Linked DNA regions of Ovis aries. The protein of the gene in region 1 interacts with the protein of each later gene in a pairwise test. Links are inferred from orthologs where the notes say so. Each region holds a gene or a part of one and is shown in the gene's direction. Other genes may lie near its edges. The genes, in order: STAM2, ENTREP1, RNF11, LITAF, ARRDC3, PLEKHB2 and DAZAP2.

Evidence for each region.
Region 2: the proteins of STAM2 (region 1) and ENTREP1 interact in a two-hybrid assay, tested with the Homo sapiens proteins (2 studies listed by BioGRID and IntAct). The two-hybrid records come from large-scale screens. The link is inferred for Ovis aries from reciprocal best matches to the Homo sapiens genes STAM2 and ENTREP1.
Region 3: the proteins of STAM2 (region 1) and RNF11 interact in binary tests that used the Homo sapiens proteins (3 or more experiments, as listed by UniProt). The link is inferred for Ovis aries from reciprocal best matches to the Homo sapiens genes STAM2 and RNF11.
Region 4: the proteins of STAM2 (region 1) and LITAF interact in a two-hybrid assay, tested with the Homo sapiens proteins (4 studies listed by BioGRID and IntAct). The two-hybrid records come from large-scale screens. The link is inferred for Ovis aries from reciprocal best matches to the Homo sapiens genes STAM2 and LITAF.
Region 5: the proteins of STAM2 (region 1) and ARRDC3 interact in binary tests that used the Homo sapiens proteins (3 or more experiments, as listed by UniProt). The two-hybrid records come from large-scale screens. The link is inferred for Ovis aries from reciprocal best matches to the Homo sapiens genes STAM2 and ARRDC3.
Region 6: the proteins of STAM2 (region 1) and PLEKHB2 interact in binary tests that used the Homo sapiens proteins (3 or more experiments, as listed by UniProt). The two-hybrid records come from large-scale screens. The link is inferred for Ovis aries from reciprocal best matches to the Homo sapiens genes STAM2 and PLEKHB2.
Region 7: the proteins of STAM2 (region 1) and DAZAP2 interact in binary tests that used the Homo sapiens proteins (3 or more experiments, as listed by UniProt). The two-hybrid records come from large-scale screens. The link is inferred for Ovis aries from reciprocal best matches to the Homo sapiens genes STAM2 and DAZAP2.

The regions. Positions count from the first base shown.
Region 1 is NC_056055.1:157,423,489-157,427,628, forward strand, and holds the start of STAM2 (signal transducing adapter molecule 2), read left to right. Parts: upstream 1-1,278; 5' UTR 1,279-1,373; coding exon 1,374-1,413; intron 1,414-4,140.
Region 2 is NC_056055.1:67,369,018-67,373,384, reverse strand, and holds the start of ENTREP1 (endosomal transmembrane epsin interactor 1), read left to right. Parts: upstream 1-1,441; 5' UTR 1,442-1,525; coding exon 1,526-1,930; intron 1,931-4,367. UniProt on the Homo sapiens protein: Functions as an activator of the E3 ubiquitin protein ligase ITCH in the ubiquitination of the CXCL12-activated CXCR4 receptor. Thereby, triggers CXCR4 endocytosis and desensitization, negatively regulating the CXCL12/CXCR4 signaling pathway.
Region 3 is NC_056054.1:25,684,477-25,688,556, forward strand, and holds the start of RNF11 (RING finger protein 11), read left to right. Parts: upstream 1-1,230; 5' UTR 1,231-1,718; coding exon 1,719-1,841; intron 1,842-4,080. UniProt on the Homo sapiens protein: Essential component of a ubiquitin-editing protein complex, comprising also TNFAIP3, ITCH and TAX1BP1, that ensures the transient nature of inflammatory signaling pathways. Promotes the association of TNFAIP3 to RIPK1 after TNF stimulation.
Region 4 is NC_056077.1:10,789,252-10,793,515, reverse strand, and holds the start of LITAF (lipopolysaccharide-induced tumor necrosis factor-alpha factor), read left to right. Parts: upstream 1-1,367; 5' UTR 1,368-1,529; intron 1,530-4,264.
Region 5 is NC_056058.1:88,494,418-88,498,068, reverse strand, and holds part of ARRDC3 (arrestin domain-containing protein 3), read left to right. Parts: exon of another isoform or gene 1-216; intron 217-1,431; coding exon of another isoform or gene 1,432-1,513; intron 1,514-1,611; coding exon 1,612-1,693; intron 1,694-3,572; coding exon 3,573-3,651. UniProt on the Homo sapiens protein: Adapter protein that plays a role in regulating cell-surface expression of adrenergic receptors and probably also other G protein-coupled receptors.
Region 6 is NC_056055.1:114,957,417-114,960,219, forward strand, and holds part of PLEKHB2 (pleckstrin homology domain-containing family B member 2), read left to right. Parts: intron 1-2,100; coding exon 2,101-2,237; coding exon of another isoform or gene 2,238-2,292; 3' UTR 2,293-2,803. UniProt on the Homo sapiens protein: Involved in retrograde transport of recycling endosomes.
Region 7 is NC_056056.1:134,989,098-134,993,249, reverse strand, and holds the start of DAZAP2 (DAZ-associated protein 2), read left to right. Parts: upstream 1-1,216; 5' UTR 1,217-1,298; coding exon 1,299-1,311; intron 1,312-2,313; coding exon 2,314-2,432; intron 2,433-2,846; coding exon 2,847-3,092; intron 3,093-4,008; coding exon 4,009-4,137; 3' UTR 4,138-4,152. UniProt on the Homo sapiens protein: In unstressed cells, promotes SIAH1-mediated polyubiquitination and degradation of the serine/threonine-protein kinase HIPK2, probably by acting as a loading factor that potentiates complex formation between HIPK2 and ubiquitin ligase SIAH1.

The DNA.
Region 1 (4,140 bases):
GACTATAGCTTGTTAGGATCCTCTCTTCATGGTATCTCCCAGGATACTGAAGTGAATTGCCATTTCCTCCTCCAGAGGATTTTCCCAACCCAGGGATGGAATCTACGTTTCTCCCGTATTCCAGGCGGGTTCTTAACCACCGAGCCACCAGTAAAGTCCCAAGACATACTAGGAATTTTTTATATATTAATAATTTATTGGCCCTAATATATTATGATATATATTATTTTGAACGGCGGTGTTGGAGAAGACGCTTGAGAGTCCCTTGAACTGCAAGAAGTTCCAACCAGTCCATCCTAAAGGAAATCAGTCCTAAATATTCACTGGAAGGACTGATGCTGAAGCTGAAAATCCAATACTTTGACCACCTGATGCGAAGAACTGACTCATTGGAAAAGACCTTGATGCTGGGAAAGATTGAAGGCAGGAGGAGAAAGGGATGACAGAGCAAGAGATGATTGGATGGCATCACCGACTCCATGGACAGGAGTTTGAGTAAACTCCGGGAGTTGGTGATGGACAGGGAAGCCTGGCGTGCTGCAGTTCATGGGGTCGCAGAGTCGGACACGACTGAGCGATTGAACTAAATTGAGTCCAGCAGTATTCTCATGGCAAGACCACGATGGAAAGAGAAAAGACAGGAGTCGGCACAGAGCCATTGTTACTTCGGCCGCTGCTTCTAGGGTGGTTATTCCCGAGGGGTTTAGGCGCCGGAGAGTGCCGCCCTGCAAGCGCTATGGGCGGAACCAAACCCTTGGCCGACTCTGCGCTACCAAGGCTCCTTCCGTTTCCAAGGCAACGGGACTGTGACGCGAACGCAGCCGCGGCCCCAAAGCCGTGTGGCACCACAGCTTAGAAAGGAACCAATTTGGAGAGAGCTTGGTCGTCTGAACCCGCAGCCCTAGGCTGAGAACCCCGGACGACCGTACCCTTAGAAAAGCTGCCTCCGGCAGTGCAACTTCCGGGCCTCTGGCTTCGCCCAGTCCCAGGCGCGACGACTTCCGGCCGCGAAGGTCCCCTGCTCCGTGGCTTGCCCGGGTCCTAGCCATGGACAGGTGGCCGCGGCGGCTGCCTAACCCCTATTGGAACTTCGGACTAGGGCTGCCGCCTCCTCCGCGCGGGCGGCGGACACAGGAGCGCTGAGAAGATGCCCGCGGCTGGCGGGACCTCTCCCCGGGAGGAGAGTTGAGGGCGGAGCGCGGACCGGGAGCTGGCCCATCAGGCGGGATCCGGGCAGATGCGGTGGCGGAAGTGCTGGGACGTGGTCGGGGCCGAGCTAGACGTCTAGGAAGCCGCCGCGGCGGGTCCTCCAGCCCCGAGCAGCTGCCGAGCCTCTGCGTGACCGCAGCGACGAAGGCTCGGGCGCCGGCGAGATGCCTCTGTTCACCGCCAACCCCTTCGAGCAAGATGTGGGTAAGTGCTGGGCCCGGCCCTGGGCCGTTGTTTGTTGTGTTAGAAAGTGGGCGGTGGCGACTCTGGGAACTGGAAAGCCTAGGAAAGGGGGCGGCGCCGCCGCTCATAGGCATCCAGGAATTTTTTTGAGAGGGTGGGCAGCCTCGGCGCGTCCTCAGCGGCCTGGGGCATGTCTCCAGCCCACCTGAGGTTGGGGACCTCGAACAAGGACCATTCCTCTCGTCAAACTCAGGAATAGGGAGGAGCCTGGGGCTCTCTGGAGACTTCACTAATTGAGCAATTACGGAGTTGATGACACAAACTTTCAGCTCCCACTAGAGCTGGTTGAGTCTGGTGTCCCCCGGCCCTGCAGCCCCCTGCCCCGTGCTTAGGAAATGGTGCAGCAGACGCTGATGTGTAAGGCACTCAACACTTAGAGACTTAAAGTTGTTCCTGTTCAGTAGAAGGGAGGTGTTTTACCTCGCTTATATCCAGATGCGTCCAAGCCGTGATAGCAACTATTTACGGTAGTTGGAAGTGTTACTCTACCCATGGATGGCGCAAGTGCTATAAGGTGTTCTGTCTTTTATGAAAAGGAAAACCCCAAGATTTCAGAATAGTCCAGAACACCTGATATTTTACTTGTTGAGGGGTCGTCAGTGATTATGGAGCGAGATAATTAGGTTATGAAAAAGAAACCGCCAAGATTTCAGAACAATCCAGAACACCTGATGTTTTACTTGTTGAGAGGTTTTCAGTGATTATAGAGTGAGAAAAAGATGAACTGGGTATGAGAACTTACTTGTGGCATTAGAAAAGCAGTAACTGAAGCTGACTAAAGTAAATATTGATATTTTTGTAGCAGCAGTTAACTGTAGATACAGTTTTAGGATTTAGTGTAATGAAATGCATGGCTGAAAATTGCCAGTCATACTGAATATTGCACATCACAGAATATTGCACCTGTTTCATAGTTACAATTTTCTGACTATGGGAAAAGTCTAGAAAGTGCCCTGTTGTGGTTTGTGATTTCAAAAGTGCTTATTCAAAAGTCTAATAAGTATTTTCTATTTCCAGAGAGCTAGAAAATATTATATGTTTTGACCCTTTTGGTTTTCAAGTATGTAATTCCATAATTTCATTCAGCTTTTCTCTTGGTAGTTTAACATTGGTGACTGTTATAAATCTCGGAAGCATCACGTTGAGGCTCACAACCTCTGCCTTTGGAGTACCTAATGATGTCTTCTTCCTTGCAGTGAGACCTACACTTTTTATTGTTGTTGTGAAGACTTTTGTTTTGTCACAGTTTTAAAAAAGAAAAAAGCAAACTAGAATAAGACAAGTGATTTTCAAACTTAAAAATTGTGGAACTCTTCAAGGGAGATTTTTCATGGAAGCCTATTGTTTTCTGATTGAAAACTTCTCTAGTGAAAGTAAGCCTAGTTGCTTTTCTAAACCTTCCCCTCAGTGGCTCCTGAGGTTCCAACATGGTTTAGTAGATCATAGTTTAGTACTGCTGTAATAAAAGAAGCACTGCCCTTCAGACAAAAAAACAAAACAGAACAAAACCATGTATAGATTATTTAATGGGCAGTGCCATCAGCCAAAGCTTCAGGTACTTATTTGTTAACTTAAGTATGACTGACTGGAAGTCAGTATCCAAAAGACAGTTTAAAAATAAAATAGAAAGCTTGATTGTAAACTTCTTTTAGGCAAGTGGTTGGAATTAATAGAGAAAATGGTATGATTTAGGATTTCACATTGACTTTATATCTCTATCATAGAAGGAAAATTACATATTGCTCTTTGAAAGCTTAAAGCTTTCTTTAATTTGAAAGTAAAGTAATATGACACGCAAGTCATTATTTAACTTGCGATGTCCACAGGAATGTTCCTTTGCAATGTCATTGTCCTTTTCACCTGCTGTCTTTGATTCAGTCAGATTTTTATTACCATTGTTTCTTTTTTGTCATTGCTTTGTTTACCTTTCATTTAACAAATAGGCATTGAGTGATTACTGTGCACCAGAAATTGTGTTAAGTTCTGGGGACACAAATTTAATAAACAGACTATGTTCCCTCAAGCAACTCTCTTTCTAATGGTGGATTCGTACACATATAAAAAGATAATTGTAGGGACTTCCCTGGTGGATAAGAATCTGCCTGCAAATGCAGGAGATACAGGTTTGATCTCTGGTCCAGGAAGGTTCCACATGTGATGGAGAAGCTAATCCTGTGTGCTACAACTACTGAGCTTGTGCTCTAGAGCCTGCGAGCTGCAACTCCTGCAACAAGAGAAGCCACCACAAATGAGAAGCCCATGCGCCACAAGGAAGCGTAGCCCCCACTCTCCACCACTAGACAAAGCCCACAAACAGCAACGAAAGACCCAGAGCAGCGAAAAAGAAATAAAAATTTTTTTTAAAAAATTGTAATACAATGTGAAAAATACAATATTAGAAATATAGGCAATGCTTTATATTTTCCCTCTATTTACAGCAGTCATTTTCCCTGAAAAGAAGGCAAGGACCTCAGGCATACATTTTATCTGTACCAGTGTTGACACTAGCCTCTCTCTCTCCCTGCTTTCCTGACAGTACTTAAACCTGCAGGGAGTAACCACCTCTTACCATGTGTATGATATGGTCATTTTATAATTAACTGAAAGTTGAAACTACCTTCCTTTGGTTGGTACAGTCTCATCAGAGGATGCACAGTCTTTCTGATAGCATTCATGTGGAGAAGAAAT
Region 2 (4,367 bases), about 90 Mb from region 1:
CTTTAAGCTTGTGCATAAATTAAAATGTATAATCTGGCACATGAGAAACTCAATTTAACATTACTTGCAATTTAAGAATACCTACCATAAGATGTTTTAAAGTCCATGAGATCACATACTTCAAACGTTTATTTTAAAAGACAACTCCTTTTTTTTTCCGGGATTTGACGTTTATTTCCAAGAGGAGTTTGTAAAAGAAGTCCTTGAGACTATGAATCACAGGTGCTTTAATAATTCAAAAAGTGTACATGTAGACCCACATGCACATTGGCAGTGCATTACATTGTGAGTTACAGTAAGTAATGAACGAAATAAATACAGCCTTTGTAAGCAGAGCATAAAAACAGATACATGTTTCCTTTGGTTTAGTGGGCAGGAGGATATAAAATACCCTCCCCTTACTTATTACTCACCTAATACTGAGACTGACTTTCTGCAGAGTGACAGTGCTCTGGTTCTTAACCTGAAAAAATTCTATCATAATCATTTTATGTATAAGAACACTTTCAATACATAAGAATTCCTACCATTAGGAAATGAAATTTTACAAAGGCAAATCATTTCTTTTTAAGTTCTAAATATATTTTATAAATTACCAAAAACAGATTAGAATTTTATGAGGCCGTTTCTCTGAAAGTCTGGGATTCTGTGTTCTACCAGATGATGCCTAACACAGCTCAGGAGTCAGCGTGAGACGGCCACAGAGTGTATGTAACCCTTGCCAGCGCTCCAGGCCGTTGGTTCTCTTTCTGGATGCCGGATACTTCCAAGGAAACTTTGGCCTCCTGCCCACTCCTACGCTGGTGCCAGGAAAGCACCCATACCCCTCATTCCCCACCTCCCAACTTCCCAGGCGGAGGGGCTGCAGAGCAGTCAGCGCCGGGAAGCCCCACGCGAACGGTGACTTTGCTCTGCGTCGTCCTTTCCCGAAACCCTGAGGCTTAGACTTTTCCCAAGTCACCCACAGCTCTCTTCCTGTCATCCTTCCCCTAGGCCGGGGAAAAGTTTAAAGCCGGGCTCCCTTCGTATGAAAGGTCGCCAGAGTCGCGCTCGCGGCTGGACCGGAAAGGGGCGAGGGGCCCCAGCGCGCCTGCGGCGCTCCTGTTGCGCCCCAGCTTGGCGGCTGTCGGTACCTCCGCGCCCAGTCCGCAGTTCCCTCCTAGCCCGAGGGAACCTGTTTTAAAACTGGGGCACCTCTTCTGGAGCCCCGGGAGAGAGCGCCGGTTTGGCGGGGCCCCAAAGGGTGCAGGCGCTGCGCGGCGGGACCTCAGGGCGTGCGTGGTGTCGGGGGCGGGGTGTGGGAGTGGGGCGCGCCCGGGAGGCCGGAGGCCGACCCGCCGGCTGGCAGGTGGGTGCGGCCGGCGGGAGCCGGGGCGGCGGCTGCGGCAGCAAGTGGTTGGGCCGTGCGCATTTTCTTCCCGCCCCCTCCGCGTCCGAGCCCGCCCGCGTGCTCAGAGCCTGGCGCCGGCGGCTCAGCTCCGCGCCCGCTCCCCGCTGCCACCGGCCGCTCCTTCCCCGTTTGTCCATGTCCCTGCCTGTGGTGCTCCCGGGCTCCTGCTGCCCGGTGGCCGGGCTCTCCGGCGGGCCGCAGGCCGGGGGCCCGGGCGCCGCGGCCGCCGCCGCCCAGGAGCCGCCGCTGCCCCCACTACGGCCGCGCTGGCCCCGGGCTGCGCTGCAGCCCCCGGCGCGGCCTCGCTGCGGGGCTACCGCCGCCGGGGTGCTGGCCGCGCCGCCTGCACTCTCTTCCCGCCGGGCCGCTGCCGCCGCCGGGGCTCCGGGCTCCGCGCTGCTGCCCGCTCGCCTGCTGTTGTCGCTCGGTCTGCTGCAGCTGATCCTGGGCTGCTGCATGGTGGCACTCAGCTTTGGGGCACTGTCGCTGAGCAGCTCCCCGCAGGTGAAGAACTCGTGCCCGTTCTGGGCCGGCTCCTCGGTGAGTGCCGCGCGCGCGCGCCCCGCTCACCGCGGGAGCAGGGATCTAGGGCCGGTTCCCTCCTCTGCCTCGTGATTGAGCGTCCTAGGGCTGCACTTGGGGAGGAGAACCTCTCAGACCGGTCGAAGTTTTTGGGCCGTTGAGAGGGTGGAGGTCCATGGTGAATTGGGTTGCACCTGGACGGTGTCTATTCCATGTAGGCTAAAGGGTTTTGTTATTCCTGTCAAACTAATGGGATAAACTTGATTTCCAGCCCCTGGCGAGACTAGAAGAATGGGGGTCGGTGGCAAAAAAAAAAAAAAAAAGGCGGGAAGAAAATGAGTAAACTTCTTCTTTCAGCCATTGAGTGTTTATTTCGCTAACAGAGTCCGCAAGGCTCTCGATCTATTTTGTTCACCAGTTTATCAGCAGTACCAGGCACACGGCAGGGGTATTTGTGGGATGGATGAAGTGACAGGTTGGGGCATGTCACTTATTTTATTCTGCACTGAGGCAAACGGAAACATGAAGTGTCTGGTGTAAAGTAACTCCACTGTGTTTGGGGACGAGCTCAAGAGGTAATAACAGTGTGTTAACTCGCCGTGTACTTGGTCGTTAAAGGAGGGCCCTAGGCCCGCACTGGGTTCCTGGAGCCACACAAACTGCTAGGCAGAATTTAATTCTTGAGAACAGGAAGCCATCATGTGGAGAGCTTGGAGATGTCTACCCGGCTCTGCCACTGGCCCTACCGGACTGGCGCCTCCAACAGAGAAGGCTGATGCGGGGCAAAAGGTCTGCTGCCCTGGAGCATCTCTGCCTCCAAAAGAGTTCACAACTTCCAAGGCAACCAGTGTCTTGAGGTTTGTTGGGGACTGAGAGACTTGGAAACAGATCTTCGTGAAGTGATTGTGGAAGATGAATATGTAAAGCAAACAATCTTTCTCTAAATTAAATCTAAAAGCCTGGCAATGCCTATAGTTCTTACTGAGATCTGTAATAAATGTAGGCTACCTAAAAACATTGGGTGGTCCTTGCAAGTCCACACAAACCCACTTTCAAGACCAGATTTAAGAATATGGCGGTGGTTGGTGCTCACTCCTGTCAACCTCTTTGCAGCCCCATGGACTATAGCCCACTAGGTTCCTCTGTCCTTGGGATTTCCTAGGCAAGAATACTGGAGTGGGTTGCCATTTCCTCCTCCAGGGAATATTCCCCACCCAAGGATCCAATCAGGGTCTCCTGCATTCTGCATTAGCAGGTGGATTCTTTATCAAGGAGCCACATGGGAACCAAAGACTTTTAAGATTATAGGGAGAACGAATTGAACCCAAAGTAATTGTTTGAATAAGAACTGTAAGAAAATTAGGTATGTAGAGCCTGGCTTGGTTTTTATGCTTAAACTGATGCCAGTTTGTTCTCCTTATTTTGATGCTGGTACGGCCTGTGCTATGGTGGGTGGAATTCACAATCTGTGCAACATATAAAAGAAATCCCCACTTCTAGCCCTGCCCTTGGGCTCTCCAACAGGCTTCTGGGAGTTCTTTAAAACTTCACGAGGAGGAATATTCTCAACAGGGTAGGTAGGGGTTGGCTCTGTCTTACTCCTTAGTCCACTTGTCAGCCTAAATTCAGCCAAATGATGGGTGCATTTAATTTCTCTAAATACCCTGGGCCAGAAGTGACTCTTGCATACATTTTAGGGATTTGCTCTTTGTAAAATCATAATCTCTTGTCTTGTCAAAGATAACTAGTTCAGGATTACTGAAAACTATTTTTTCTCTCCTAAAATTAATCCCCTAAATCAGTGTACTCCTGTGAATTATATCAGAGGTAAATGCATTTCAGATGTCAGTTGAGCCATGGTTAGATTTGATGAACTAACCACTCCAGTATTCTTGCCTGGAGAATATCATGGACAAAGGAACCTGGTGGGCCACAGACCATAGGGTTACAAAGAGTCGGACATGACTGAAGCAACTTAGCACACACGTGTGCATCAGATGGTAAAGGCTACTAGTTTGGGCCTGCTGGCTGGGCATGTTCTTGTCCCCAGGACCCAGCAAACCAGAGCAGGGAAAGAATCAGTGATTTGGAACTAAGTCTCTTCTATAGGGTCCTTTTTCCACCTGTGCCCCCCAACTCTATATGAAATTTGCAACTGTTATTTTTTGTGGCCTGTTTCTGAGGTTGTCTTCAGAATTTGCAGTGACAACAGAACCAACAGATACTGCATGTCCGGAACAACGGAATAGGATTTGAGAATGGCCTTAAGGCCCATAACTCTGTTGCAGGACAAGAGTTTCAGGAGTAGCATACCTTTTGAATTTATGTGTGTGAGAGGCATTTTTTTTTAAACTCTTCTTTATGTAAAAATTTAAATTTATTAAAAAACTGTACAGTGAATTTTCATATGCCGCTACCCCAGTTGTTGCACACTGTTTTATCTGTACCTCTTCCT
Region 3 (4,080 bases), on another chromosome or scaffold:
GGAAAAAAAAAAAAAAAGTAAATGAAGAATGAAAAAAAGACAGTCAAGACCCTCTTTTCCCCTCGTTGAATGAATATTAGAGCATTCTCATCTTTCTTATTTCCTCCCTCTACATACATTGCCTCTTGAACTCTTTGTTATTTCGGTTAAGAAGAAAGGCTATTCTGCCTCAGGCAATGTGCCAGGTCTTTGTACAGAGGAGGGGCAGATTCAGCTTGATCTGGCTGTGATAGAGACTCACAGGGACTCAGGAACTGAGTGCTCAGGGACTATGAGCACAGAGGAGGTAACTAACCCAGACAGGAGGGTTAGAGGACAGGCTTCCCAGTGGAATCAAAGTTGAGTCCAAGAAGGACAAGTGTGGATATAGTTTGATGGAAGGTATAAGCTCAGGAGTGGGGAGAAGTGAGTTTATGTCAGAGAAACATCATAGGTAAAGACCTCAGCCAGAGGGAATAGTCTTCTAGATAACTGAAAACTATTCAGACATCCTAAAGATTAGAATATGTGAGGGAACAAGGCCACAAATGAGACTGGGGAGGTAGCCAGATTTGTAAACCATTTAAGAATTAATACTTCAGTCATAACAGTATTGGGAAGTTTTTAATGAATGTTTTAAAAGGCTTAAATTCCTCCTACAGGAATGACCTGATCAGATTTACATTTTAAAAAGATAACTGTACAAATAGTAAATTGAATGGGGGCAATGGCGAACGCAGGGGAAATAGTTCAAAGTATTACAGCAGAGAAATGACGGTAGCTTGTACTATGGTGGTAAGAATAGAAATAAATAGAATAATCGGTTGAAGAATTCTTCTGACTGTGATGTAGGAGGATTGCAAAGTGACTGGGGAGGTAGTGAGTTTGGACTTTATTCTGAAGGGATAGAATATTTTAATATTTTAGTCATGGGAGTAATCCATTCAGATATGGGTTTTAAAATGGATTACTTGGCAGAAGGTGGCCAGAAGACTGTCAAAACAACGCACAGTTAAGAGCTGAGACAAGCGAAGAGGGAGCAGAGCGCGTGGGGAGGAACCGAAGACCCAAAAGAGGTATCGGAATCGCGTCCCAGGCTGTCAGAGAAGCAGAAACTGACGCAGCCCCAGAAACAGCTGCTGGGGACGGGGGAGGGGCAGGGGGGTGGCAAAGGAGCAGGGAGCACAGCCGGAGCTACCCACGCCTCCCAGCGCCGGGGGCGGGACCAGGGCACGCACGGCGGCGTGACGCAGGGCCGCAGCTGGCCTCGTTCTGGCCGCCGCCGCCGCTGCGAAGCGGAGTAGGATGAGGCCCGCGGCTGCGGCTCCGGCGTCGGCGGGGCCAGCAGTAGCAGCTGAGGCAGCAGCTGAGGGAGCCGCGACGGCTGCGCCCCCCCACTCCTGACCTGGATTAGGCCCAGCAGCTCCGTGGCCGCCGCCGCCCCGCGGGGGGGCGGGGTGGGGAAGTGCTTCGTCTCCCCGCCCCCCCCCCCCACTGCCGCCGCCTCAGGAGGCAACCGCCGCGACCCCGGGAAACCCGCGGCCCAGCCTTAAGCCCCCAGCCCCAGGGACTGGCATGAGCTGCCCTTCGGCGGCGCCGGGGGCCGGGGGAGCCGCTGCCGCCTGAACCCCGGCCTGCCGCCCGACCCCACCTCGCTGACCGAGGCTGACCGCGGAGCGTGCGAACGACCCCGCCACTGCTTTCTTCCTCCCCCAGATCACACACCCCAGCTCCAGAAGATGGGGAACTGCCTCAAGTCCCCCACTTCGGATGACATCTCCCTGCTTCACGAGTCTCAGTCCGACCGGGCCAGCTTTGGCGAGGGGACGGAGCCGGATCAGGAGCCGCCGCCGCCATATCAGGTAGGGGAGGGTGTGTGTTGGGGAAGGGGGGTGCGAGGAGTAGAGGCGGCTCTGGCGGAGATTGTGGGGGCTTCGGGGCTGTCTGTCACTGTCCCTGGCCTCGGCAACACCCGGCCTGAGAGGCACTGGACCCCCTTAGGGCTGGGTTTAAGTGTGATTGATCCCATCGTCAGTGTAGGGGGAATCCTTCACCTCCCTTCGAGCAGTGTGGGGATACTTCTGTCCTTGAGTTCTGGGATTCGAGTGTGTGACTATATCCCCTTGGCCAGTGACTGGTGGCTAGATTGTGGAGTTCGGAAGTGATATTTTCATGCCTTTATATGTGCATTGTGAGGTTCGAAGGTGATTTCCTCATCACCGGCTGGATTATGGGTTCTGGATAAGTGGTTAACCTCCCCCCACTACCCCACCCCACCACACATACATCCCATTTATACTTTAAAGTGTGATCCTCCTCTCCTCCCTCTCGTCTGTCTGTATTCATTGAATTTAGTAGGCGTTCATTTCTTCCTGTGCTTGGGAGATTTTCAAGTAGTGATTTTGGTTCCAGCAACATGGAGTTGCTTCTTTACATATATATGTATACATATTTATGTGTGTGTGTGTGTTTATACTAATTGTAGGAGTCAGCTTAGCGACTGAACAGCAACAACAGTATTAATTCTGAACCCCTCCTCTTTTTGCTCCACCCCTGTGACACACCTTTTAAACGCGCTGATTTAGAGAACTTGATTATCTTGAACTTTGGAAACCTTTAAACCTTACTTGAGAAATACCTTCTGTTACTCATGGTTTCTCCGTGTGTATCAAAGACTTGTCTTCTAAATGACTTCACTGCTTTTTGTGCAGCAGTCAGCAGCTCCAGATGTCTTTACACGATTTGTAAAGAGCTGAAGCCCTCTTTAGAAAACTCAAAATAGATAGGTAGATGTTATAATCCATAATATATATATAAACCTTTCCTCTACTATTTCAAGATGTTGATTAAAAACTTTACCAGAAGGACTTGGATAGTTAAGTGGCTTAATTTTTTTTCCTGATTGGGGTTTAATTTTCTAACTGGGCAGTCTCCTTTGTTGTTTCATGTGGTGACATCATTATCTAGTGTTATTCTTTTCTCATTCCTATGTTAATCAGTGTCTCACCACACCAGAAAAACCTGATCACAAATGCTGGTTTTCTGAATAAAACCCATCAGGGGCCTTTCATATATGCTGGTAAAGTCCAGTCTTTTCATGTGGCTTACAGAAGACTCCATGATTTATCCCTCACATTCATATTCCAGGCCTGTCAAACACAACAGCTTATTCACACCTCTCTGCCTTAGTTCCAATTGCTCTCTCTGGAACCCTTCCCCCAAGGTCAGCAGGTGAGCGTGTAATCCTCTTTGAGGACTCAGCTGAGCTGTATCTGAAGTTCCTAAATTCCCCTCCCTTTCGCCCTGAATCAATCACTCCCTTCTTTGTGTCTCCCCTGAAGGAAGTGTCTGCACTTTCAAAAGCAACGCATATAACACTTATATGTTGTCCTTGTTAAGTTAGATGTGTGTCTCATTCTTGAGGCATTTCCCTCCTTCTCCAGTATAAGCTGAATGCAGGTAGGAACTCTGTTTCCTGTTTGTTGTATCCTCAACATCTGGCTTCATAGTAGTTGCTCAGTAACTGGAATAAGGGAAAACTCTAAGCCCTTGAGAACAGGGACTACCCGCCAGTGCTTAGTGCAGTTTCTGGCTCATGAACACTTAAATGTTGAGTGAATTAATGAATTTAAATGGAGTATTGTTATGTAAGTTTACACACCCATTTCTTCCAAAGAATTGTCACAGGAGAAGTCTCTTTAAAAATCCAAACCAAATCTAAGTGCTTTCCTGAGTCTTTGAAGCAAGTAAATTGTTTCACTCTTACTTTCCTTCAAATTTCACTCTTGATTTCCTTCATAAATGTTTATAGGACAATGTGCTTATTTCCATTTCATGAAAAAAATTTTTTAGAGGTACGAGTTTTTATTTCAGAATCTCCTATATTCCTTAGTCCTCTTATAAGCAAGTAAAATACCTTCAACTTATTGTACTCTTTCTCTTAAATACATGTATATCTTATACATTGTTAAGAATAACTTCTTTAGAATTTATGGAGATTGTATTCAATATTTGCCTTTTCCAGGAGGATAAGATAATAAAGAGAGGGTTTTTTTGGTATCAGGTAGAAAGGTCTTTTTGAAATGTTTGTGACAATGGGAG
Region 4 (4,264 bases), on another chromosome or scaffold:
GACAGAGGATGAGATGGCTGGATGGCATCACCGACTCTATGGACCTGAGTTTGAGTGAACTCCGGGAGTTGGGGATGGACAGGGAGGCCTGGCGTGCTGCAATTCATGGGGTCGCAAAAAGTCGGACACGACTGAGCGACTGAACTGAACTGAACTGAACTGAAATAGTAGTTACTCATTTCCAGAGCTTTCAGTGATTGAGTGAGAAAGTAGCAGGGGCCACAGGACACCCTGGGTGCATGCAAAGTATTGGGTTGGCCAAACAATTCATTTGGGTTTTTGTTTCATCTTAGGGAAAACCTGAATGAACTTTTTGACCAGTCCAATAGTTAGCAGCTGCTGCTGCTCCTAAGTTGCTTCAGTTGTGTCCGACTCTGTGAGACCCCAGAGACGGCAGCCCACCAGGCTCCACCATCCCTGGGATTCTCCAGGCAAGAACACTGGATCGGGTTGCCATTTCCTTCTCCAATGCATGAAAGTGAAAAGTGAAAGTGAAGTCCCTCAGTCGTGTCTGACTCTTAGCGACTCGGTGGACTGCAGCCTGCCAGGCTCCTCCGTCCATGGGATTTTCCAGGCAAGAGTACTGGAGTGGGGTGCCATTGCCTTCTGCGAGTTAGCAGCTAGGATAGGTTTAATTTAGCACAATCTGTGCTGAACGCTTTGCTTGCATTGTTCAGCTAAATCTCTGTGGATCTTACGAGACAGGTACTGTTATGCCCATGTTACAGACAGGAGACTGAGGCCAGAGCAAGTGGGCACATGGCCAAAGGCACATAGATTTTCTTGGGTTGCCTGGATGCATCTGAATGCACAGAATTGAGGTATGGGGAGAAAAGGGCCGACTTCCGGAGGGCAGGGAGCGCTGGATGCCTTGGCAAGGGATCTGGAGGTGATCAGCATTGTCTGAGAACCGGGAAGGAGAACAAATGCCGAAGATGGGGACCCAGGGGCGCAGGGGAGAGCAGAGTGGGAATGGAAATCAGGAGGGGAGTTCAAGGTTGTGCGGGCACGTGGCGCGGATCCACGAGCAGGAGCAGAACCCGAAAGGGGAGACACTCTCTGAGAGTGGGGTCTGGGCTGAAACTAGGGGGTTCCAGGGAGTGAGCGGGGTCTAGGGGTGTCAAGGGGGTGTTCCGAGGGTAGCGGGAGATCGGAGCGGTGGAGGGGAAGGGTAGAAGCCAGAGGGTCGCAGGTCCCTGATGGGGTTTCTAGCTTGGGGGAGGCGGCCCCCCGCGAGTGGGAAGGATCGGGTCCAGGCGGCGCATAGAGGCGGGGACAAGCCGGAAGCGGGAGCCGGAGCGCCCCGCCCCGGCCGGTCCAGCTCCCGCCCCCCGCCTTCAGGCGCTCCTCCCCGCCGTCTTCCAGCCAGTCCGCCCCCCAGCTCCATCTGCTCAGACCTCCCGGCTCGACTGGCGGCGCGCGCGGCGGTGAGTGAGGAGCGCGTTGGCTGGCGGCGGGGGCGCGGGCTGGGGTCGCCGACGGGAGGAGGCAGCGACCGGGGTGCTGATCCGCGGAGCGTCGAGCTGGTGGTGGCTGGAGAGCGGGGTCGGTGCGGCGCCAGCACCAGCTCCGGACTCCGCGGGAGTGGTGGCGGTGTCCCGGAACCCTGGCGGGTCCCCGGGGTTCGAAGTGGTTGGAGGGCGTCGGAGTCCCGCCGCGATCTTCCACGCGGGGCCGGGGAGGCCGGGCTTCCAGTCACTTGGCGCTTGTTCCCGCCGCAGTCCAGGCAGGGTCCCGTTCCTGCTCCCCGAAGTGAGCCGATCGCCCGCGGATCGCGCGCGGTGGGGTCATCCCGCCCTCACCTGAAAGCGCGCCCCGTGTTGCTCGCGGGGGTCTCCTCCTCGGGAGAGGACACCCCGAAGCTTTTCAAGAAAGTTTCGTCTCGCTTGGTAGCTGCTCTCTCAAAGTTGAAGTTTCCAGACTTATTATCGCACGGCTATTCAGAAACAAAACCAACCAACCAAACAAAAAAAGCCCAACAGATTTCCGACGCCGGTCCCAGAAATTCGACTTCTGGGGTCCACGATATCTGCTTTTCCCCGCCATCCCCCGCTCCAGGGGGTTCCCCATAGTATTCAGGACCGCTCTCGGCGGACACCGGCGGGCCTAGGGAGCCCACGAGAGATAAAAATTCCGGACACAGAGCAAACGGAGCCAGGGCCCTGGCTAGACCCCTCGCGGGGAGGGGTTGTGGGGGGGGGGAGCGGGTAAGGTAGGCACCCTGTGAGCGCAGGGGTCGGCCGGGACCCCGTCCACTGCCGCTGCCAGATACATGCCAGTGGCACAGGCCGGCAAGGTGGACATTGGCCCTCCACGCCCAGCTAGGTAGGTGGCCTCTTTCTCTTTGGTTTCCAGGTCACTGTGATCTGGGCAGTGGAGTCATTGTTATGCCAGAAACCCTTCATCAAGGTCAGGACAGGAGGTGATGGGGAAATGGGCAATTCTGGACCGGCTGTGCATTCCAGGGATCAGGCCGGCTGGTCTTTGATTAGTTGTCTGGTGGCTTTTGTGCTGCCGATAAGTGGGGCTGATGTCATTGCATGTCGGACTGAGCTTTGGTGGCTGGGAAATCCAAATTCTGGAAGGCACAGGGCCTTCCCATCTTAGTGCATCAGAGTAAGACTCGCCCACCCATCTTCCCAAGGGGAATAAGCCCTTGGCTGGGTGAGCTGGTGCTGGTTCAAGGGCTGTCTGGAAGGCAGGTTGGCCCTGCAGTTCCCCTGGGGCCCTTTTAAGGAAAGATGTGGTTTGCATTAGTGTGTGCTTGACTGCCTCCCCTATCTTCTTACCCCCCACCCCGCCCCCTGGCCCTGCCCAAGCCATCTCTGATTGACTCTTACAGTGAGACTCACCTGGATGTGGTGTCCAGCGTGAGCTGGTATCTGGGACTCCACCAGACTGTTTGGTTTTATCGAAGTTGACTTGGAGGAGGCCTGCAAGCAGGACTTGGCTCTACCTGACGTAGAATAATACCCATGCTGCTCCTGACTTACCTCAACCAGGCCTTGCACTGGGGTTTAAAGGTGCCCCAGACTCTCTAAGAAACGTCTATTGTAGATCTACGATGGGAGGGGCCCATCTTCCCCCTTTCCTGTTACTTGAAGGCATGAATAATAGATGCTTTTATTCACATTTGTGAAAGTATCCTCATTGTAATGTTTTTGTGGATTAAGTGACTCACTGATTGATCTGAGATGGAGGATCAATTTCTTAAGTCTCTAAATACTAGATTGAAGTCATTTCACTGTCTCTGGTGAGTAAACTTTCCTTTGTTCCTTTAGTCCCTTTTACTGGATGGTTGTGGGGAAATAAAATGCTACTCTAGCCTTGTAAAGGACACAGAAGAAATGTCTCTATGTTCTGAGGGGTTTATGCTGCAGTGGAAAGTGGAAAAAAACACAGGTGGATAGTCAGTGCTCAGCAATGCCCTTTACTCTGGAAGGATTGAAAGAAATGGAAAGGAGTGAACTACAAGTCAGGGAAAATTTCATAGGAAAGCAGAGACCTGAGAATACATGTCATAGAAGGTACATGTATTCCAAATAAGCAGAAGAGGCTCAGCAAAGCTTTGGAGGAAGTGCAGGCTAGCCCATAGTTGAGGACAGTAAAAGAGAAGCCACTGAGAGCAAAGGAACTGGAAGGCATTTCCAGCCCAAGTTTATTTTCAAGGAGATAGACAGGGCATGCTTCCTTGCTTTTACCCACGACTGGCAGTGCTATGGTGCCACTCTGAGAATGGGAGTATGCCCATCAAGGACTTAAAATTCTCCTGCTGAAAATGAATCAACCCCAGCTACAGTGATGGTGGAAAAAAATGAGTTCCATGACTCGAAGTCTTAGAGTTTTGACACTGTGACCTGTCTTCTATTTGTTTGTGCTTTTACTGCAATGAAAATAGCTCACTGGGCAGTGTGGTCCGTCTCACCAAGCAAGTAGCCTTCCTTAACTCATCGGGGTTGAGCTCTAAGTGGTACTTTCCTGGGTCCTCACAATTTCATCTTACTGTTTGCACCTGCGCTGGGGCTCAGGGCAGTCGGGATAACACTTTTGTGGCCAATGAATTTGTCTTCTGACTGCAGATTATTTCTGTGAAGAACTGTGTGTACTTTCATAAGACTTAGGGCCTGGACAGAAGAAAGTAAATATCACGGGTGTCTCAGTGGCAACTCCCTGTTTACCTAGTAGGTAGGAAGTTAATTCACCGAGATCCGAAAAGTCAGAGGCACTTTCTTCTTCGTGGGTGTTAACGTCAGGGAAAATAATG
Region 5 (3,651 bases), on another chromosome or scaffold:
CACCGCCACCACCGAGCTTTTGCATCCCTTCGCCGCCCCCACCCCTATTTCCTTTGCTGCAAATTTAAAGGTGTCAGGGTGGCCCGAGCCAGATCGAACCGGTCACCGGCTGGGGCGTGTAAAGCGGAAGCGCTGCGGCGCCCTGGCCCCGCCCCCTCCCGCCGCCAGCAGGCTAGGCTGTGCGAGCGCGAGTGCGAGCGCCGCGCGACATATGCCGTATGTATAGCGGGGCGCGCGGGCGGCGGCGGCGCGCGGGCGGGCCGGCTGGGATCTGCTCGCGCCGGTTTAGGCCGGTCCTCTCCTGCTCCGGTCTAGTTCTTGATTGACAGCCCGGCACTTGTTTACCACGGCGCGGCCGCCGCCGCCGCTCGCCTCAATGAGACTGCTGAGCTGGCACAAAAAGGGAGCGAGAAGGGAAGAAAAGGAGAGACAGGGAGGCAAACTTTGGGCGCCTTCAGGAGGGAGCGGTTTTAAATGTCCCCCAACTCATCAGCCGCTTTCAGGGCCGAAATCCAGGAGAGAGAATTTGCACGGGGGTGGGGGGAGAAGAACAAAATAATGGTGACAAGACTGAGTCGTGATGGTTATTGAATAAAAGGTATCCACATATAGGCATCTTTTTTTCCCCCCTCTGAGGGAAGCATCATTTTTTGTGTGTGTATTTATTACTTTTTTGAGGGAAAGTTAAATGATAATACCCGTTTCTGACAGCCTATTTAATGATAAAGGTTTCTACACCGAGGAAGCTGCGTTAGTAGACATTTATGTAATTAAATTACCTAGTTAGAACGCTTCAGAAAAGCATGTCAAGAATCCAGAACCCCCTCCCGTATTTCCCTGAGGGTTTTTTTTTTTTTTAGATAGTTTGAAAAATAACCTATTTCATCAAAAGAAATTGGATGTAAAATCAAAGGTCATCCTGTTTTTTCCCTAGCACTGGGGAACATCCTTATCTTCATTTTTCAAGGATGTATGACCTGTTTTTTCCCGTTAAGCAGGCACATTTTAAGTCTAAGGTACATCATATATATGTGAATTTTTAGCTATTAGACTGAGGTCATAATTTTAGGTTCAGTAACAATTTTTATTTTTGACTATGAAACCGACATTAAAATCACTGTTCCTTTTTTTTTTTTTAACTCCCAACATCTACTTAGCAGTTTTCTAATCGTTTGAGTTTTCACATTCATATTTTCCGTATCAAAACTGATATTTTTTTAAAGGTTTACGTGAATAGTTTTCATTTTATATGTAGGCTTATTAGGATAAATTTAAGTAAATGGTTGAAGACAAAGGTAACATCTTAGTATGAGATTTGAGGTCTGAGTCTTAGCCTGTAGGATGTTAGCTGAAGATGCTTTGCAGTTTAGGTTGTTTTCCATTAAAAAAATCACTTATGGGGTATAAATATTAATTATCCCCATTCTACAGATGAACCAGCTGAAGACAGGAGTTTTATTTTACCCAGAAGTGATGAAGTTGGAATTAGAGTTCAGATCTCTCACACTCCAAAGTTTGTGGCCTTATTTAACTATGTGAGCATCTTTTAAGTTCTGACATCGTGAAGAGAGTGTGAAGGTTTATTAATAAATTTTTTGTTTTCTGTTTTAGATGACGATAATTCGGAAGAAGGCTTCAACACTGTTCATTCAGGAAGGCATGAATATGCATTCAGCTTCGAGCTTCCACAGACGTAAGTATTTTGTTAACAGGCGTTTTTCAAATAAACATCCTTTCTTTTAAAATGAAACATTGTATATTTAAATATTTTTAGTTTAAAAAAACCCTTTTCATTACTGAAACTTGCTAGAGGAAAACAATATACTAAAAAAAAGCTATTTTTTAATCTAGAGTGGCAAAATTATAGAAAGCAAATCTCAATTCTTAATACTCTGTCTCAGGATTTGTATGATGTTTAAAAGTATTTCATTTAAAGTGAATGAATTGGAAGGTGCTAGTCAAATGGTAAGCACCTAATAGTTCACCATCAGCATTAGCTGGAAAAAAGATCATATCAAGTCTGTCATTTAGTAGTTTATAAAAGTTAAGTGTTCTGTCCTTTCTACTGATGCTTAACCAACACTAAGAAGGTAAAAATAATTAGGAATATCCTAATTTTAGAAGTACTGTGTGTTTATGATATGAATTCATTAGCTTCTGTGCAAGGAGCTATTGAGAATGTCACACAAGAGATATTGCGACCTAGACTTAAAAGGAAATGTCAATCAGATATCTTAATGTAAGGCCTGGAATATAGTATGAAAGGAAGAAGGAAAGTAAAATATTCATAATGTAATAATTATGTATTAGAGGAAATTATACAAAAAGCAGTTTTTAAAATAATGCCTTAACAGATATTAAAGCATGCAAAGTGGTACTTGTAATGTTTGTTCTGAAAGATAAACTTGCATTACAGAAGATTTTGTCAAGTGCCAAATGTACATAATTCTGTGTTCTTTAATTCTAGTACTTATTATATATGGATAGAGTTCATAAGGAGTATTTTTCAGAGTATCATATTGCTTAAGAACATTTTTAATATAATACCCTAATTACTTTCTAAGAGAAATATTTTAAGTTTGTAAATACAATAGGGCTAATACAGTTGGGCCTGAATATTTTCAAAGGATGAAGGTAATTTAATATAAATATATATTTTAATTCTTTCAATAAGCCACAGTCATTTAAAATAAACTGTAGAAGTCTTGAATAGATCCTGCATTTTATTTCTCTGTGCTATACAAATTAAGCAGAAGTCTAAAATGTAAAACAAAAAGTAAACACCGCTACTCCTCAAAAAAACTAGCACTCTACCTTGTAAATAAATGAACCTTGTGCATTTTTCTGATGAAATTATGAAAAGGAGACTAAATACACTAAAATAAAATCTTCCACAAATAATAAAATCAGAGTTGAGAAGAATTCTGATTCTTTTGATAACAGGTCAACAGAAGAAATTCTCCTTCTTTTTAAGTCTATAATGTAGTTAGAAAACATGGCCAAAATTAGGAAATGGAAAGCATTTTTTAAGAGATTAGTGGACTTAATGAAATGTAAAAAGCTTTTGAAGCCATAATGACTATTCCAGACCTTTTCTGGATCTTAATTAGTTGCTATAATAGGAAATAGTAATTTTTAGCTAATGAAAAATGGAGCACCATAGGGAGTTTGGTCTGAATGTTTAACCAGAGTCTAGAATTTCTCAAGAGAAATAGTTAAACCATTCTTAATTTTATTTTTAAACTAAAGTCTTGACCTTTTCAAAAACTGTTCATTTCCAGACTTTGATAATTTTGCCACCAGCATTAAAAGTAGCCTCTTCTTAGTTTAAAGCAATTGTATTCGTCTGGCTTTTTTTAACCAAATTTCTGCACTATTTGACAATTATCTATTTTATTATTTGGAAGGTTCCCCCCCCCCCCCATGATTTCTCCCTTTGGAAATATAAATTACACCTTCGATACCTCATTGGTGTATAAACATATAATATATTAACACTTCTATGCTGACCTACTGTATAATTAATTAAACAGAGGTGTAAGATTAATATATGATCTTTATATTCTGCACAGACCACTTGCTACCTCATTCGAAGGCCGACATGGCAGTGTGCGCTATTGGGTGAAAGCCGAATTGCACAGGCCTTGGCTT
Region 6 (2,803 bases), about 42 Mb from region 1:
CCCACACTAGTAGACATTTGTTCAGTTGTCTATTGATGTGAGCTTGAGGTCTTTGGTTTGAATTGGCTCCTTTAGTTGGAGTCCTCTGTTTCTGTCTTGTTGAGATGGTACTCATGACACGTAATTGCTCTGCAGTTTCCAGGGCCAAGTCTGAGAGAACACCTCTAGATTTTGTAATTCTCAATTTCTTAGTTTGATAGTAATTTGTAAAAGTTATCTGCCTTTATTTAGTCTTTCCAGGATCTTCCCAACCCAGGAATCGAACCAAGGTCTCTTGCATTGCAAGCGGATTCTTTACCATATGAGCCACCAGGGAAGCTGAAAAGTATCTGACTTAGTTGTTCTTAAAATATCTAACAGTATCTTCCTTTTCTACATTCATGGTTGGATCATTTATGTAAAGATTAAATTAGATGATTAAAATGAGTACAGTTTGGAAATGTTCCCCAGCTGACTTTGGTAAAGACTTAGCTTTTGGTAGGAACAGAGATGAGCTGTAGGAGAAGTTGGCTCCTGGTCATGGAGTGAGGGGGTCCTTCTGTGGAGCTAAAGCTGGAATGCAGATTTAGATTTTCCAGGGGTCTTTAAATTAGGTCAGCTATAGGGTCCTGCTGTATTACATGTTACTAATTGGAGTTGCCTAGTTGAAATTTTTAAAATTTCAAGGCTGTGATTCTGAATGCCACAGTTCACCAGTTATGTAGTTTAAATATTACATTAAAAAAAAATCTTTGCTTCTAATGTTATTGCCTGACGACTCTAGGTTTGTAATGGTCGCATTTTCCTGCCCTGTGGCTTTGATGCTTCTCTTTCCTTCATCGTATTAGGGGCATTGGTGTCTGAGTGCGCACTGTAGCCAGAGCGCCTGGGTTGGCTTGCACCCAGTGTGCTCAGGCCCCATGCACCTCTCTCTTTCCCTGTTTATAGAATAGGGTAACAGTAAGCTCAGCTGCAAGGATTGTTGTGAGGATTAAGTGAGTCTGTACATATAAATGCTTGTAATACTGAAAGTGCTTAGACTGGTAAGCACTTATCATTTAGTATCTTCATTCTTTATGGACGTATCACTATTGGATCAATTTCTCACTTTCCTAGGGTTGAACTGTTAAGAGAATAATGGGTTAAGGAGGAACGTTAGCACTGTATGTGAGGAAATTTATCTCCAGTTGTGCTGGGTCTTCGTGGTTTCATGTGGGCTTTTTCTAGTTGCAGAGACTGGGGGCTCTTCTCTTGTTGTAGAGCACAGGCTCTACGGCCTGCAGGCTCAGTAGTTGTGGCTTGTGGGCTCTGGAGTGTGGGCTCCTCCTGGTCTGGGGATCGAACCTGTGTCCCCTGCATTGGCAGGTGGATTCTTATCCACTGCGCCACCAGGGAAGTCCTGTGGGAACAATTTTAAAGCTAACTAGCTTTTGGACAACATATTGTGAAATATAGAAGAAAACATTTCCAGTTGAGAACTTTAATTGTGCAGCTAAGTTTAAATTTGTTTAAAGTTTGTTTTTTAGATGTTTTACCTTTGACAAATATTTTTCTCCATAAAGGCATAACATTAAAAATGAAGAGCGGATTATGTTAGCAGATTTAAGGTTTAATTTAATTTACATATCGTTTCCATGAATACTAAGAAGCTGTTTAGCTTCTGGATGGGGATCCTTGGCTTTCCCACAGTCTCTAGGCTCTGTGTGTCTCCTGTGTTCCTGGTCTGCCTGCCATCCTGATGAACACTGTGGGGGCTAAAGCAGACGTTGTGGGCTGGGGTTTGCAACTTCATTACGATTCTGCTCTCTGTAGTGTCCGGGACTGTGGACCTTGGGAAACTGAGCATCTTGATTTTCTCTTAGTTCCATCTTAGATACGGAGTGTCCCCCTCACTCGGCCAAGCCGAGTCCCCTTCATCTGTGGTGAAGGAGAGCTGGGGAGCGCTCACCAAAGTCACCTCCCCCCCCCACGCCCAGCTCTCTGAGGGAGACGAGTCTGTAGGAAGAGTGCTGTGCATGGAGAAACCTCAGGAAGGGTCCCAGGCAAATGAGCTCTCGTTTTGAGTGAGTGTTGAGCTTCACAAACTGCTCCTCAGGAGTCTGTTCTTTCCTTCTTTTCCAGGGCTTTATGGACAGCAGCCTGCCAACCAAGTCATCATTCGTGAGCGGTACCGAGACAACGATAGCGACCTGGCGCTGGGCATGCTGGCCGGAGCAGCCACAGGCATGGCCCTGGGGTCTCTGTTCTGGGTCTTCTAGAGTCCATGGAACCTCGGTGTGCATAGCTTCTGAAACCCCGTGTGCAATAATATGATTTGCAGGGCATTTCTGTTTGTTATAAATGTTTTTAGTAATAGGTTTAATAGTTCTTTTGAAAGTAGTGACAAAATGCTTATAAGTACATAGAAGTACTGCAGAGAAAGCTTTGGACTGCTGTTTAGCTAAAATGTGGACTCTATGGCAGCACTGGCTCATTTGAGGGGTTTCCTTATAAAACTCTCTCAATGCTTTATTTGAACACACCCGTTTTGAAAGGCCATTTTCTTTTTAGAGTTAGATCTTACTTCTTAAGGGATAATTTATTTTAGTGTTTTGCTGGTAACATGGGTGATGTATGAGTGAGTGAGTGACCGTGGCGAGAAAAGCTGCAGTTTTTTTGGTTTAATATCGGACTTTGAAACCTCAGACCAGAACTGGCTGCATGTTACTTCAGGAGTTAATAGGCTGGAACCTTCCTTAGGCAGCAGTGTGATATCCCACAGCCTCTGGGGCTCCAGCAAAGCTGACTGCTCAGGACGATGGATGGGATGGCAGTTTCCCCCCTT
Region 7 (4,152 bases), on another chromosome or scaffold:
GATCTGTGATGACTCCATAAAATCATGCATATTAATGGTGTCCTGCAAACTGTAATTTGACACTGGAGAGAAAAACAGCGGACTGCTGATGAAGTGAGTACTGGTCTTTTCAGTGGTTTAAGTCATTCAACAGCAAATATGGATCAGGTTGCTAATGTTTACCGAGGGTTTTTCTTTTCAAAGCTTTCTTTTCAGATGCTTTTCTAATGTTCTTCCTACACTACAGAATGTAAACCATGAGAAAATAGCCTTGGGCTGTCTTGTTCAGCTCCATCTCTGTACCTGAACACAGCAAGCGTTCAGCAAATATCTTAAAGAATGGAAGCAATTGTTGCCTTAAAGGATGGCATCTTTGCTCTTAAGAACGATTAAGTTAGAAGAGAAGGGATACACAGAGAAAATACCTATCAGGTACCATACAGGTGTCTGTGACAGGTATCAAAGTAAGGGCCAGGGCATGGGTACTCCTTGGGTACCAAGAACATGCGTTTTAGTGCTAGCTGTTGCAGCGGGGTGGGGCGGGGCACAGCACAGCATACCCTTTCTGTCGGTGAGAAAGCGACACAGAAATAAAACACCGACAGCCTATCGGTAGAATAGAAAGGCAGTGAAGACTTGAGTGAGGGGAACGAGAGATAGATCAAGGGTTGCGAAGCATCTCAGGCAGTTAGGTAAGATTGTAGAAATCTATGTCCCGTGTGTGTGTGTGTGTGTGTGTGTGTGTGTGTGTGTAGGAATCTATGTCCCGTGTGTGTGTGTGTGTGTGTGTTAGTTTCCGGTTCGGTCCATGGGAAATGGCAACCCACTCCAGTATTCTTGCCTGGAGAATCTCATGGACAGAGTCGCACAGAGTCGGACTCGACCGATGAGACTTAGCAAGCATGCATGCCCCTTGTAGAAAGGCTGTCAAGGTGAGGTGACCTTGAGGTGCTGAACGTAGGTGGAAAAAGGTTCCAGAGAATAGTTTAATGTTACTGCCTCCGAGCGTTCAAGAGAGAGAAGATCCCGTTTTGAGACAATACCTGTATTTGGTTTTCCTTCAGCCGAGGGACAAGGGTAGGGGTTGGAGGACCAGACCCGGTGGGCGGGGCCTACGCGAGCGGACGGGATCACGCGGGCCCTCCCTCCTGCAACCGGCGGCCGGGCGAAGGGGCGGGGTTTCCGGTGGCAGCGGCACTCGGGCGTCGGGTGACGCTAGGCGGACAGATCGTCACGTGACACGGAAGTGACTACGAACAGGAAGAGGACGAAAAAAATAACCGTCCGCGACGCCGAGCCGAGCCGGACCCGCAGCCACCATGAACAGCAAAGGCAAGGATAGGGGGTGGCTGAGGCCGCCGGGGGGACTAGTGCTGGCCCGGAACGAGCGGGCCCGGAGCCCAGGGTCACCGAACGCCAGGCCTGGGGCGAGGTGCGCCGCGCTCCTGAGCCAGCTGCAGTGCCCGGGGCTGCGCCAGACACCTTCGTCATTCCCGAACTACGGCCGTTCGCTCCCTCACGGCCCTTTCTCCCTTAAACTCTGTGGCGCAGTTTGGAGCTGCGGACTCGGGTTGGGGGGGGGCTGTTGGGTGGGTGGGTTGGGGGGGTGGGGAGAAGGTTTGTCGTGATGGGCATCTGTAGGAGCAAATGGGGAGCTGGAGGCGAGATTTGGGTAGGCCAATGGAGAACTGGCAGAGGCGGGGCGCCGCGCTCCGGAACCACAGGCAGGCCTCCGGGCTTAACTAGTAAAGTGCCGCTCTGGTGGGCGGGCCAGTCGGGCCCGAAGGGGGTCTCTTCCCCCTTACCCTCGCTGGCGGCCAGAAAGTCTCCCGGTTTCTGTGTCAGAACATTCCCTTCAGCCCCCTCCACGATCTCAGCATTCACTTCCACCACTCACTCTTTTCATTTGGAAGTCGACCTTGAGTAGGAACCTGTGAGGTCGATGACCACAACCACCGTTACTCACGAGGTCTTGGTCAGTTACAACCAGACCTTTGGAGACCACGCAGGACAGGGAGACAGGACACACCGTTGAAATACCGGCTAGAGGGGATGCCCAGAACTGCCCTGCGTTCTGAGAGGATCTTGGGCCCAGCTAGACTTTCCCCTTACAGCAGTCGGCTACTGGATGTCCAGTTGGAATCCAGCTTCTTCAGCTTTAAGGGTGCAACGAGAATGCTTATTTTCTTGGCTCCAGGAATCAGGCCCTCTAGGGCAGTCTGTTTGGAAATCTCTTTTTGCTTATCCCAGCTAGATTAGCTACCCAATATGCCCTGCTTTGTTTTGGTGACTGTATGGTAGACAACATGCTTTTTTTCCCCCCTTGTCTTCCAGGTCAATATCCAACGCAGCCAACTTACCCTGTGCAGCCTCCTGGGAACCCTGTGTACCCTCAGACCTTGCATCTTCCTCAGGCTCCACCCTATACTGATGCTCCACCTGCCTACTCAGAGGTGCTTCCAGTTAACTTAATAATGGAATACTCTTGGATCATGTTTTCGGTCCTTGGCCAAGTCTGGCTCCACACATTTATTTACTTTCCACAAACAGAAGAGAGTGCTCACATGAATCATCTTAAAACGTGACATAGTTCAGCCATTTCTTTTGGGTTTGAGAAGGCATTATCTGATTGTTTTATGTTATTTGGCACTGGCTGAAGTTAAGAAGATGAGTTTGCATTCCCTGAGCCTAACATTAGCTATAGCAGGAAGTGATCCAGGAGAATATTGAGTGGCAGTGGAAAGGCAACTTGTGTAACTCAAAGAGTGTAATCTGCACAAGGAGAATTAAGACTTGACTCATTAAATTGAGATCTGAAATAGGAATGTCATGAAGTAACTTATTGCCTTCTCTTCTGCCTCTTCTAGCTCTATCGTCCGAGCTTTGTGCACCCGGGGGCTGCCACCGTCCCCACCATGTCAGCTGCATTTCCTGGCGCCTCACTGTATCTTCCCATGGCCCAGTCTGTGGCTGTTGGACCTTTAGGTTCCACAATCCCCATGGCTTATTATCCAGTTGGTCCCATCTATCCACCTGGTTCAACAGTGCTGGTGGAAGGAGGGTATGATACAGGGGCCAGATTTGGAGCTGGCGCTACTGCCGGAAACATTCCTGTGAGTATGACTTGGTCACAAAAAAGCTCGACCCTTGTGTATTTTAACTTTCTGAAATGACTGGTCATCCTTTCATCATCCCTGGGTAATAGTTGCTGGTATTGGTGTAATAATCACTGACGTCCAGTAGTCAGGCAGAAAGCACTCAAAGGGGCAGGAGAACCGTGGCCAGTCAGTAACATCTGGCGTACTCACTGATGTTAGAATTTATCAGATTCCTTTGTTTTCCTGTCTTAGGAGTCCTGCCTGCTGCTTTTCCAGTTCACTTTGATACTAGTTTAGTAACACTCCTCATTCATTCCATAAGCATTTATTTATATGTGCCATCAGCATGGCATCGTATTAGGAACCATGACGATTAAAAAAACAATGCATAATCCCTATTAAATTGCATTTAGAGAGATACTAGGGATTTTAGCAATGTCTCTTGATTAGTTCCCCTATGTATGGGAATTAGAGCCCATATGGTCCTTGCTAGGACCATCTACTCAATAACCATAGGCTAGGGATGAAGTGAAAATGCTGTCATCAGGTAGAGCCTTCAGATTATCCAGGGCCATTTGAAAACTGTCAGGCCCTGTGATATAAGTCCCTGGACCTGGTACCCGCTCCGTTTTGGGATGTGAATAGGAGTGATTTTCTGCACTGAAAATGCCAAGTCTGGACTTCCCACACTTAGAAGGTATCCATAGGCTTTATTTTGGATCCAGAACCCTTTAAATGAGTGGGTTTCCTGTTTATATCTTTGGCCTTACAAAGAATGTAGACCTGCTGGACTCAGATTGGTGGCCCAGATAGCTCTTTGAGATGCCGCTGGTTAGCACACTGCCATCTTCCTGATTGGTCCTTTTTCACCTTTGTCCACTTCCCTCCCATAGCTGCCCTCTGCCCAATCAACCTTGTCTTTTCCTTTCAGCCTCCTCCCCCTGGATGCCCTCCCAATGCTGCTCAGCTGGCAGTCATGCAGGGAGCCAATGTCCTCGTAACTCAGCGGAAGGGAAACTTCTTCATGGGTGGCTCAGATGGTGGCTACACCATCTGGTGAAGAACCAAGGCCATC